Linked DNA regions of Ovis aries. The protein of the gene in region 2 interacts with the protein of the main gene of each other region in a biochemical or structural test. Links are inferred from orthologs where the notes say so. Each region holds a gene or a part of one and is shown on either strand. Other genes may lie near its edges. The genes, in order: GDF5, BMPR1B and BMP2.

The links.
Region 1: the proteins of BMPR1B (region 2) and GDF5 interact in a biophysical measurement, tested with the Homo sapiens proteins (3 studies listed by BioGRID and IntAct, with this or other methods). The link is inferred for Ovis aries from reciprocal best matches to the Homo sapiens genes BMPR1B and GDF5.
Region 3: the proteins of BMPR1B (region 2) and BMP2 form a complex in vitro, tested with the Homo sapiens proteins (3 studies listed by BioGRID and IntAct, with this or other methods). The link is inferred for Ovis aries from reciprocal best matches to the Homo sapiens genes BMPR1B and BMP2.

The regions. Positions count from the first base shown.
Region 1 is NC_056066.1:64,669,301-64,673,377, reverse strand, and holds the start of GDF5 (growth/differentiation factor 5), read left to right. Parts: upstream 1-1,204; 5' UTR 1,205-1,508; coding exon 1,509-2,133; intron 2,134-4,077. UniProt on the Homo sapiens protein: Growth factor involved in bone and cartilage formation. During cartilage development regulates differentiation of chondrogenic tissue through two pathways.
Region 2 is NC_056059.1:30,030,130-30,034,297, reverse strand, and holds the end of BMPR1B (bone morphogenetic protein receptor type-1B), read left to right. Parts: intron 1-266; coding exon 267-397; intron 398-1,915; coding exon 1,916-2,041; 3' UTR 2,042-3,609; downstream 3,610-4,168. UniProt on the Homo sapiens protein: On ligand binding, forms a receptor complex consisting of two type II and two type I transmembrane serine/threonine kinases.
Region 3 is NC_056066.1:48,887,301-48,890,498, reverse strand, and holds the end of BMP2 (bone morphogenetic protein 2), read right to left. Parts: intron 2,607-3,198; coding exon 1,762-2,606; 3' UTR 638-1,761; downstream 1-637. UniProt on the Homo sapiens protein: Growth factor of the TGF-beta superfamily that plays essential roles in many developmental processes, including cardiogenesis, neurogenesis, and osteogenesis. Induces cartilage and bone formation.

The DNA.
Region 1 (4,077 bases), on a different chromosome or scaffold from region 2:
AATTAAAGAAAGAAGGAAGCCTACCTGATGACTGTTTCTGCCACTTCTATTTCTCTCACAGTCTGTTGCAGTGAAATATTCAAAAAGGGGTAATTGGTTCTGTTTGGGGATCTGGGAAGGCTTCCTGGTGGAGGTGAATTTTCAGCTGAAGCTCTCAGGATAAGAGGTTCCTCCTGTCGTGGGAGTAAAAGGCGGATGTTCTAGGTAAAGGGAACAGTTTCCCCGCTTGAGCCAGCTGGAGTTCAGACTTCTTCCAGAGCTACTAATACCAGAAAAGCACTGTGTGGGAATCATTTTTTCTGCCTCCTGCAGAGGCCGCTGCTGCCCCAGGCTGGGGCTGCCACATCTGGGACTCAGCCAGTCCCTCACAACAAAACTGAGCCTGTCTTTGCTGGGGTGGCGGTGAGGTATAGACACTCTGGACGTGTCTCCATCCAAGGAGTGGGCTTGGGGGCGCCCCCCAAAGCCTGGAGAAACCATCTGAGCTCAGTCAATGGCATTTGGGGGAGGGGTGTAGTGGGTACCGATATTTTTCTGGCTCTGGGTCACCACAAGTTTATTAAAATAAAAGAAACTGTGGGTGAATTCTGCCATCTGTGCTGCCCTCCCCCCTACCCCCGACACCAACAACAGAACAGGTCCCAGACTAGATGTGAAGGTTGCTTTAAAAACACCCCAAGGACTTAACTGAAAACCCACACTCTCATGCCTCTGGGGTTTAAGATCTTTGAATCTATTCCTAGCATCTCTCCTTGGGAAGGTGGGGTGGGCCGTGACATGGAGGTGAAGACCCCAGAGTCTGCTCCATGGGACTGAAAGTCTCCCCCCACCACCCCGCTCCATTCTAGAATCCCCCCACGGGGCTCTGTGCCAAGAGCCCCCGTGAGCCATGGCCTCAGAGGGCAGCGGTGATTTTTTTCACATAAATATATCGCACTTAAATGAGTTTAGACAGCATGACATCAGAGAGTAATTAAATTGGTTTGGGTTGGAATTCCGTTTCCAATTCCTGAGTTCAGGTTTGTAAAAGATTTTTCTGAGCACCTGCAGGCTTGTGTGTGTGTGTGTGTGTGTGTGTGTGTGTGCGCGCGCGCGCGCGAGTGTGTGTATTTTCACTGGAAAGGATTCAAAAGTTAGCAGCATTACGCCATTCTTCCTTCTTGGAAAAATCCCTGAGCCTTATACAAGCCTCCTTCAGGCCCTCAGTCAGTTGTGCAGGAGAAAGGGGGCGGTCGGCTTTCTCCTTTCAAGAACGAGTTATTTTCAGCTGCTGACTGGAGACGGTGCACGTCTGGATAGGAGAGCATTTCCACTATGGGACTGGATACAAACACACACCCGGCAGACTTCAAGAGTCTCAGACTGAGGAGAAAGCCCTTCCTTCTGCTGCTACTGCTGCTGCCGCTGCTTTTGAGGGTCCGCTCCTTTCATGGTTTTTCCTGCCAAACCAGAGGCACCTTCGCTGCTGCCGCTGTTCTCTTGGGCATCATTCAGCGGCTGGCCAGAGGATGAGACTCCCCAAACTCCTCACACTCTTGCTTTGGCACCTGGCTTGGCTGGACCTGGAATTCATCTGCACTGTGTTGGGTGCCCCTGACTTGGGCCAGAGACCCCAGGGGGCCAGGCCAGGACTGGCCAAAGCAGAAGCCAAGGAGAGACCCCCTTTGGCCCAGAACATCTTCAGGCCAGGGGGTCACAGCTACGGTGGGGGGGCCACCAATGCCAGGGCCAAGGGGGGCACTGGGCAGACAGGAGGCCTGACACAGCCCAAGAAGGATGAACCCAAAAAGCTGCCCTCCAGATCGGGTGGCCCTGAATCCAAGCCAGGACACCCTCCCCAGACAAGGCAGGGAGCCACGCGGACGGTGACCCCAAAAGGACAGCTTCCTGGGGGGAAGGCACCCTCAAAGGCAGGCTCTGTCCCCAGTCCCTTCCTGCTGAAGAAGGCCAGGGAGCCTGGGTCCCCGCGTGAGCCCAAGGAGCCATTCCGCCCGCCCCCCATCACGCCCCACGAGTACATGCTTTCGCTGTACAGGACGCTGTCCGATGCTGACAGAAAGGGAGGCAACAGCAGCGTGAAGTTGGAGGCTGGCCTGGCCAACACCATCACCAGCTTTATTGACAAAGGGCAAGGTGAGGGGGCGGGGTGGCCGGGGCACGGCTCAGAGGGAGGGACATCTGCATGCATGGAGGGGGTTTTAGAGGCCAGACACTGCACTGGGGGGAGACGGTGTGTGCCTCTGGCCCGGGGCGGTATCTGGGATTAACCTCACCCACACCAGGTCCCAGGCTGCTGGCATGTCAGAGACAGATGGCACCTGGGGATCCCCAAGTGCAATTCCTGCAAGATGTGGAGGGGGTTCCTGAAGCCTGGGAAGGAGACAAGCCCTGCCGGTTGGTGGCAGAATTGAGGACCAGCCTCTTAAACTCTTAATTACCAGGCCACACTCTGTTCTTACTGAGTTGGTCAGACTTCTAGGCTGCACGGGGTTGTAGGTTTTCTTGGATGGCAGAGAGAGAAACGAATCTCAGAAGCCCATGGTTCTGCCACTTTCCCTTCAGGCAAGGGGGCAGAGAAGGTAAGACAGGTGAAGGGAGGAAATGAGGCATCTTGGAGTCAGGGAATTATCTTCAGATATATGGGGTGGGGTGAACAACAGACCTGGGCTCTAACTCACAGTGTGACCTTGGGAAAGCCCCTTCTCCCTCCGGGGTCTCAGTTTCCCCATCAGTACAACTCTGTGGAGGTTGGATGGGGTGACTTCTGAGAGCCCTTCCAATATGAAAACTTTATGTCCTGTCCTAGACACAGATCACTTTTTATCATGAACCCAGGAGACAATCTGCTCCCCTCATTTCACATTTCTGCCCTCCTAGCATCACTGTCTTGGCTTGTCCCCTCAACTTGCCATGTGATTTCAGCAAGTCCTTTCCCCTCTCAGGGCCTGAGTTTATCCATAAGAGTGAAGAAGGAGGTTGACCTGATGGCTAGGGGTGCTGGCAGCTCGTGTGTGTTGGTTCTGGGAATCTTGGGACTTTGGCTGGCAGGGTGGGGGAGGGGTCAGAGAGGGGAAGAGGCTCCTCATTAGAGCTGGCCGGTGGGGGAGTGACAGAGGGCGGGGGAGGCACAGAGGCAACGGGTCTGCTGAGGTGGGGGAGGTGGTCTGGCTGCCTGCCCAGCCAGAGAAAGCTGTGACCCCTCGGGGAATCATAAAGTAAGTCCTTGTGCCCCCCAGCTCTAAGGGAGCTTGGAGGGGGAGAGATGGGGAGTTTAAAGGCCTAATTAGTCACCTTCTAGAGCAATATTATGAGTGCTTCCCAATGGCAAATTGGTATTTAGGAAGGAGGGCATGTTGATTTGGACATACCACTGAGCTTCTTGTACACATGCAGAGCCTTATGTTTGTACATACATGGTGAATCACACTCACACACACACATACACAATGTGCACACGCACGCCTGACATATACACACAGAACTTTCTTACACATATACAGACACATATATTGGGTTGGCCAAAAAGTTTTTTTTGGGTTTTCTGTACCATTTAATAGAAGAAATCAAAAGAACTTTTTGGCCAACCCAATACATACATACCCTTCACATAGTCACACAAGCCCAATCATACATGCATATAACCTGTCACTCAAATATGCATTACTTTCCATACTCACATGTGGACCCAGTCATACATATATATACACAAACTGTCATTCACACACACACACTCACATACCAAGCAGAGTAAGAAACATACACCACAAATCATTAGACTAGCCAGGAAAATTGAATCATAGACCAGTTTGGTCATTAACTTGCTGTGTGACCTTAGGCAAGTCACTCTCCCTCTCTGTGCTTCATCTGTGAAACAAGAGCACTAAGATCTTCTTTAAGGCATAGTACAGTAGAAGCAGCTCAGGATCAGGCATAACAAGTTCTAGGCTGGAGTTCCAACCGTGCTTTTTGCCAGCTGGGTGACCTTGAGCAAGTTACCTAACTTCTCTGAGCCTCAGGTTCCTCCTCTGGAAAAACAGAAGAGGTGATTATAATGATCACCCTGCCTCTCTTACCAAA
Region 2 (4,168 bases):
ACTTAGCTTCTAGAAGTTAGGAAAAAAGGCTTGAAAGTGTATAATAATGTTTCCGTGTGCTTTTTATTCATTTTTTGAAAATTGTGTCATTTGGGCCCATTTTTTTCAAGGTTGGTGGGTTTTTGTGTTTGTGGCTTTTTTTTTTTTTTGCTGTTTTTCAACCTAAACTTGTCTTTGGTGCCGACAGAAGTTTCCTCTGAGAACAGTTTGTTTGTTAGACTTTTATTTCCTCTTCACAGAAAATAATCTTCTTAATATATTTTCAGGTATAGTGGAAGAATATCAGCTCCCCTATCATGACCTGGTGCCCAGTGACCCCTCTTACGAGGACATGAGAGAGATCGTGTGTATCAAGAAGCTGCGGCCCTCCTTCCCCAACCGGTGGAGCAGTGACGAGGTGAGGTTGGAGGTCACCGCGTGGCCGTGACCAGTGTCGAAACAGGCTTTTCTCCTTTTGCCGAAATTCCAAATATTTATTGCAGGAATTTGTCTTCTCTGTTGGGACGGTAACGATATGTCATGGCAGCAGTCTATATGGAGATAAGTGCAGTATATTACATTATCTGTTCCTTTCTCCTATTTGATTTTGCCGCTTCCAAAATACATTGAATGGGTCAGTGTTTAGCCGACATAACTGCTAACATTATTTCATTTATTGGTGATTCCCGACACTTGCATAGAAGCTGTTATTTCTCCGAATGTGGGTGTGTAAAACATCATGAATTTTCTCCATGACAGACTCAAATACAGCATTCTCTCATTTAATGAGAGAAGAGGTAGGCATCTGAAGAATTGGCTTTTTTGTACACAGAAGTGGTACAAGGTCACCTAGGTGAGATGCCTGACTGTGCGTGGATCTTCCTTAATACATGACGTGATGCTGTGGGAACAAACCCACACTCAGTCGGGCTCTGAGTGCGTCCTGGTGAAACCTCCACAGGTCTGAGAGGAGCTGACCGGAAGCCGGAAGTGAGCCGGCCAGCCTTGCCTCTCCTGCCCGCTCTGCACCTTGCTCACCCCTTTTCCATCCGCCCTGTGAAACTCTGGACCCCTTGGACCTGGAGTGTTTGGCGGCACTCGGAGTGCCACATTCAGAGAGGAGTTTGAAGCATCCCTCAAAAAAAAAAAAAAAAAATTCCAAGCCAGTGCAGACAAATGGACAGAACACTGTTTATAAACTAATTCTTGAGTGTTAATTGCATTTAAAAATAACTTTTGGTTCTTGGTTTTGTGGCCAGTTACTGAAATGCTAAATAATACACGTTTCCCAGTGAGCTGTGCAGAAAGCCTTATAAGATGCTGGAGTCTATATTATTTTGAAGGTGGTTATGGGCATTGATATTGCTCAGAGTCCCTTCACTGAGGATTTCTAATGAAGCAAAATAGTGCTTTTCAACAGGAAGGCCAATAATTGACGTGCCACAGGAGAATGCAGGAGAAACTTGTAGTGAGGCTGTGCACAGGTCATTAATCTTGTTAAATGGTATAGTGTGGTGCTGTTATTGTAGTAGACAGCAATGATTGAGGAATAACCATGTTTGTTTGACTAGTATGGAATTAGATAAAAGATTTAAGCTCATCGAGTGTTAGAGATAGTCTGGGAGTGTGCAGCGGAAAACAGGCTCCCTGGGTATTTTTGTATTTGTTTAATCTGACTTCAAAACACTCTTCTACGATCAGCAAAGCCACCTGCTTGCTCCTGTCACAAGGAAGACATGAAAATTTGTTTAAGTCCTTTAAGATTTGCATGAGAAAGGAATTTTTATGGAATTTTATGCCTACATGCTTTTAAGACTATCTTTTAAAAGTACATTCAAATTTCAGAAACCCAGAACTAGAAGCCAGTATCGAGTGCCAGCCTTGCAGATCATACGTTCCTCTCGTGTAAGTCCGGTTCTCCTTTTCCTTCCTGCAGTGTCTCAGGCAGATGGGGAAACTCATGACGGAATGCTGGGCTCACAATCCTGCCTCAAGACTGACAGCCCTACGGGTTAAGAAAACCCTTGCCAAAATGTCAGAGTCCCAGGACATTAAGCTCTGAGGCAAGAGTAAGTGTCTCTGGACAAAGCCAGTAGATATCCTCCTGTTTGTGGGCAGAGCAAAAGATGTTCCAGCAGCATCCACCGTCCCAGCCTCGAACATCCTCCTGCTCCCCAGAGGGTGTATTCTTACATCTCAGGGAGCAGCCTGGACAAACAGAAGTTTCCAGAAGCACGGATTCCTCATGTCTGTCTGTAGGCGGGAGAAACTGCCTGGGTAATTTGTTCAAGATATGATGCATGTTGCTTTCTAAGAAAGCCCGGTATTTTGGGATTGCCTTTTTTTTCCTCAAAAGATAATTTTGCCAAAATAAAACAAAAATGTAGATGTTTCAAGGTATATACTATTTCAGTTTAAAGAATGATAACTAAAGTTCTTCCCAGAAACTCTGCTGGAAGGTAAATTAAAATATGTATTTCCATTGGTAAAATGTTGTTGCACTCTACCAACCAAAAGACAATCGTTGAAGCTGGAGAACCGAATGGAACCCATCTTAAAAGCCCCCGACGTGTCCCTGCCTCCTCAGACCACTCTGGCCAGCCCTCCACTGGGGCAGCCGCAGCAATGTGAACGCATCTGGGGACCGGCACCGCCTGTGTGGGACCACCTCTGGGGATTCCCACCCATGACCTTCTGCAGCTTCAGAGGATGTGGGACAAATGAAGGTTTTACGAGACTCTACTAGAAGTAAATGTTAACACTGTTCTTCAGAACCACTTTGTATTTCTGATTCTGTTAGGTTTTTTCTTTCATTAAACACAAACAAAGCTTTTGTGTGTGTAGGAAGTTGAACCCCTGCAGGCTTTTGATCTCTCAAATGAAAGGATCAATATTAAGTAAAGTGGCTGTCAGCTGGGTCGAAGACAAGGTGCTTTAAAATAGAGATAATTTGCTCTTGAGCTGTAAGAAGATGGTGTCAAAAAGGTAGGCGGTGAGGATGGAGGTACACGTGGCTTGTGTCTTAGGTATGCGGAAGAGACCTCCTCGGCCGCATGAGGGGAAAAGTGTGCACAACTTACTGTGTACAAAGAGGGTTTCTTTTAGTTATTATCTGCCTTTTCTCTGTCTGAGTTTAGAGGAGAGGAAACGTATCAGGTTAATTGAACTAATTTTAATTTTAAATTAGGTGACTGTAACCTCCAAATGGAACAGCAGAGGAATGCTAGTGGAGACCACAAGATATGGCTGTCGGGACTGATTCTACAATAGGTACAGATGGAGGATGTAAGTCTTAGGTGATAGTGTCACGTCTTAGGAGTGCTGACTCAGTTTATTTTTATTTTCATGACGTTCAGCTCACTTTTTAATTTATTATTGTTTTCTTCTCTGCAGCGCTTGCGCAGAACATCTCTCCACCTGTTCAGTTATGTAGGCACACACACTTCTGAGCAGCAGGAGTCAAATCATTGACAGGGCCAGTATTCCTTAGCAACAGGAGCATAATAAAGGGTACAATTGTACACATCCCTCTCAACCTTATTCATTTACTTCCTGACTGTGGCTTTCTTATGCTGCTTAGAATTCTCTAGTGTGTAGCAAAGAATTGGGAAGCCCCTCTTCTTTGCCCTTAAAAAAAAAAAAAAAAACCCAAACAGCAATTCTGTTCTTTCCAGAATACTCCAGGGGGCAGTGTTTTATAACACATTTTCATTTCCCTACTTGTGGCTGAAGGATGGAGAGTTTTTGGAAATGTGACAGCTGCACGAAAAATGAGAAAATATTTTCCTGACTTCTGAAGTGAGCTTGCAGCTGGTGACTGGTTCCTCCAGACAGCATCCGAAGGCAGAGACCGACTGTGAGCTGTGCTTACCGTCTGGGAGAAGCAGTGTTCTGTATTCAGCATTCACTCCCCAGTGCTTCATAATCACAGCTCCTTTGTAAAAATATTTGCTTAATCCTTGAATATGAAAAAAAGTTTCTGCTTTTTCAAAGATTAAAAACAGTTGGTTCCAAATATAATTAGAATGCTGCTTTTACTGATATTAACATAACCTGAATAATAGTGTAAATGTTCCCTTTTCTTAGGTCAAATATTCTTTGCGATTGCTTAGGAGGAGTATCTGGCTAAAGCTAAGTGGGATAATCATCTGAGCCTAGGAGAGAAACTTCAGTGCCTCTAATCAGATCA
Region 3 (3,198 bases), on a different chromosome or scaffold from region 2:
ATCCCAAGGCAGAGCTACGAAAGGAAATTAGAACAAGACCTTATCAATCACAGTAGGACCAGAGGTGACACAAAGTCCTAGAAATTGACCTTAAAATACTTCAAGTGAAATTATGAGGTGTGGTGGGACCCTTGGCCATATAAGCATACCCATCCAACCCTTCCTGGGGTCTGATTTCAACCCAGAACACAGAACCCCTGTCCTTTGTAAATGTTCATTCTGAGTGGCCTAATTTGACTTCATTTTGCTTGGGCTTCAGTCCAGTTGGCAGATGACCTTGTAGAAGCTGATGTTAGACACTTTCCCTTTCTAATTTTTTGGCATCATTGCCTCAGTTGCATGGGATATCATCTCTGAAACTTTATCTTAGGTTCCCCAGGTTTTGCCTACTTTGTAGCATTGGTTTTCTCTTAAATCATCCTGCTCCAAAGAAGTGCATGTACAATACTAAAACACTGATCAATTCCTAAGAATTAGCCCATGACCTGTTTGCAAATTTCCAACAGCTCCTTGCCTCTTCCTACCTCCCTCCAAAATGAGTAGCCTCAGAAGCAAAAATGAAGCAAATGTAAGGAAACTTTGTGAACACTGTACACATGCACCGTTTCTCTTGCAGGTTGGTCTTTATAGAATGAAATGAAAGAACTTTGATATTTATTGTCTGAAATGGGTTTAACATTTGGAGAAATGTGTTTAAACACATAACCTTAGAAAGAAAAACAAGCTGATGGAACAGAGAACTGGGGTAGGCAGAAAACAATTTTGCTGTGTGGGGGGCAAAGTTAGAAAATTGAGTCCTTCTGAGCATAAAGAGCTCCCAGGTGAGGTAAAAGTGAAATACAAATTGATTTCCAACTCTTCACGAGGGCCACTAGATATCAATTTTAAATATACATGATCACAATATCAATAATGAAGAAATCTTATATTTTATTTAATACTTTGGCCAGTCCAGCTCCTTTGAAGGGGTCATTAGTTTAGGAAAGAACAACAAACCATCATTCACTTTCCTGTAGGTTCATCGTTTTCCTAATTATTTCTATTGGTCTTGCTTTACTCTTTCTGAAAATTAAGGGTTAGGGGAAGGGTTTCTATATTAGATCAGTAATGTCTGGTTCTTATCCAAATATTCCACCTAATAAGGATGTAAATTCTCACGGACTGGACAACCACTCTGCAACATTCCTGAGAACTGAATAATATAATAATCTTGAAAGTCAGCAGAGTGGATTATCCACTTTTTTTTTTTTTTTCCTGGACTTGAACTTGTGACCTTAACAGTAGCACTGCAAAAAAAAGCAAATGTGCTAAGCACTTTGCCAGAGTAACCTTCCATGTAGACTTTTCATCTTAAATACACACAAATGAAAAACAACTACAATTTTTGGAAAATTATGTACAAACCCAATACTTCCTTTGATTACATATAAATACAAATTAGCTATTTTTCCTAAAAAGTGGTTATAATAGTAAATAAATACAAAATAAATCTGACCATTATACTTCATGTGCTGGGGCTGAACCCATATAAAATGTACAACTAAATACATTTTAAAATCTTTAAGGAATAATTCTCTGATTAAAATATTTGTTTTCCCAACTTCTTTTTGTAGATATAAATATATTTTCAAAATAGCTGTGTTTTTTTTCTCTCCATTCCATTCCATAAATAAAGTCTTCATTGGGAAATATTAAAGTGTCAACTTGATTTTTTTGCTGTTTTTCTAATATATATATATATTTATATTTTATTTTGCTGTGCTAACGACACCCACAACCCTCGACAACCATGTCCTGATAGTTCTTTAATACCACCTTCTCATTCTCATCAAGGTACAGCATGGAGATGGCGCTGAGCTCTGTTGGGACACAGCATGCCTTGGGAATCTTAGAGTTAACTGAGTTGACCAAAGTTTGGACAATGGCATGATTCGTGGAGTTCAGGTGATCAGCCAGGGGAAAAGGGCACTCCCCGTGGCAGTAAAAGGCATGATACCCAGGCGGCGCAACGATCCAGTCATTCCACCCCACATCACTGAAGTCCACGTATAAAGGGTGTCTCTTACAGCTGGACTTGAGGCGTTTCCGCTGTTTGTGTTTTGCTTGCCGCTTTTCTCTTCTGTGGAGAGGGTGTCCTTTCCCATCGTGGCCAAAAGTGACAAGCAAGGGCCTTATCTGTGACCAGCTGTGCTCATCTTGGTGCAAAGACCTGCTAATCCGCACATGCCTCTTGGAGGCCCCATGGCTGTCCTCTGGGTGGGCTACCTCCACCACGAAACCATGGTTGGTGAGCCCCTGGGCGGTCCACCTCATCACGGCGGGGGTGACATCGAAGCTCTCCCACCTACTGGCATTCTGAGTCACCAACCTGGTGTCCAAAAGTCTGGTCACAGGGAACTTGGAGTTAGCTGTGGCAGGTTTTATAATTTCATAAATATTAATTCGGTGATGGAAACTGCTATTGTTTTCCAAAGCTTCGGGCATATGTTTCCGAAAGACCTGAAGTTCTGCTGAGGTGATAAACTCCTCAGTGGGGATAGAAGTTAAATTAAAGAAGAATCGCCGGGTTGTTTTCCCACTCATTTCCGGCAGTTCTTCCAAAGATTCTAATTTGATATGAAAAAGTGGAAAAAAAGAAAAAGTGTTCAGTAAGGCAAGTAAGACAGTCTGATTGTATATAAGGATTTATAAACATCACTTCAGGGTTTGATTCAACCCATGTAACGTCTGCAACCAGAAAATTACAATTTCCCCTTTAGATAAAGAAACGATCCTCCCTTTTCCGTACATTTATGTCAATATACACACCAAGAAACAAAATTTCACAATTCATTGTCATTTTTTAAAAAACCTAATATGTGAATACTGCTTCCAGGTGGCTATAATAATGGGGGGAATGGTGAAGCATTTCTTTGGAATTCACAGACTTTAGGGCAAAAAAAAAAAAAAGTCAGCACTGTAGTTAGTAGAGGCCTAATGAGTGAGGATTTGAGGAAATTATTGCATTTCTTAAAAAGAAAAAGGCTTTAATGTCAATCCCTTAAGCGGTATTCTAAAACATTACTCTGCAATTTAGATGATTTACAAATCTCGATATACAGATTTCAGTTTCCTAATTAAAGACTTTGAAACTCAACATCAACGATGACATTTTGCAAAGTACACCCTACTATTTTACTCAAAAGTCAAGAAACAAAG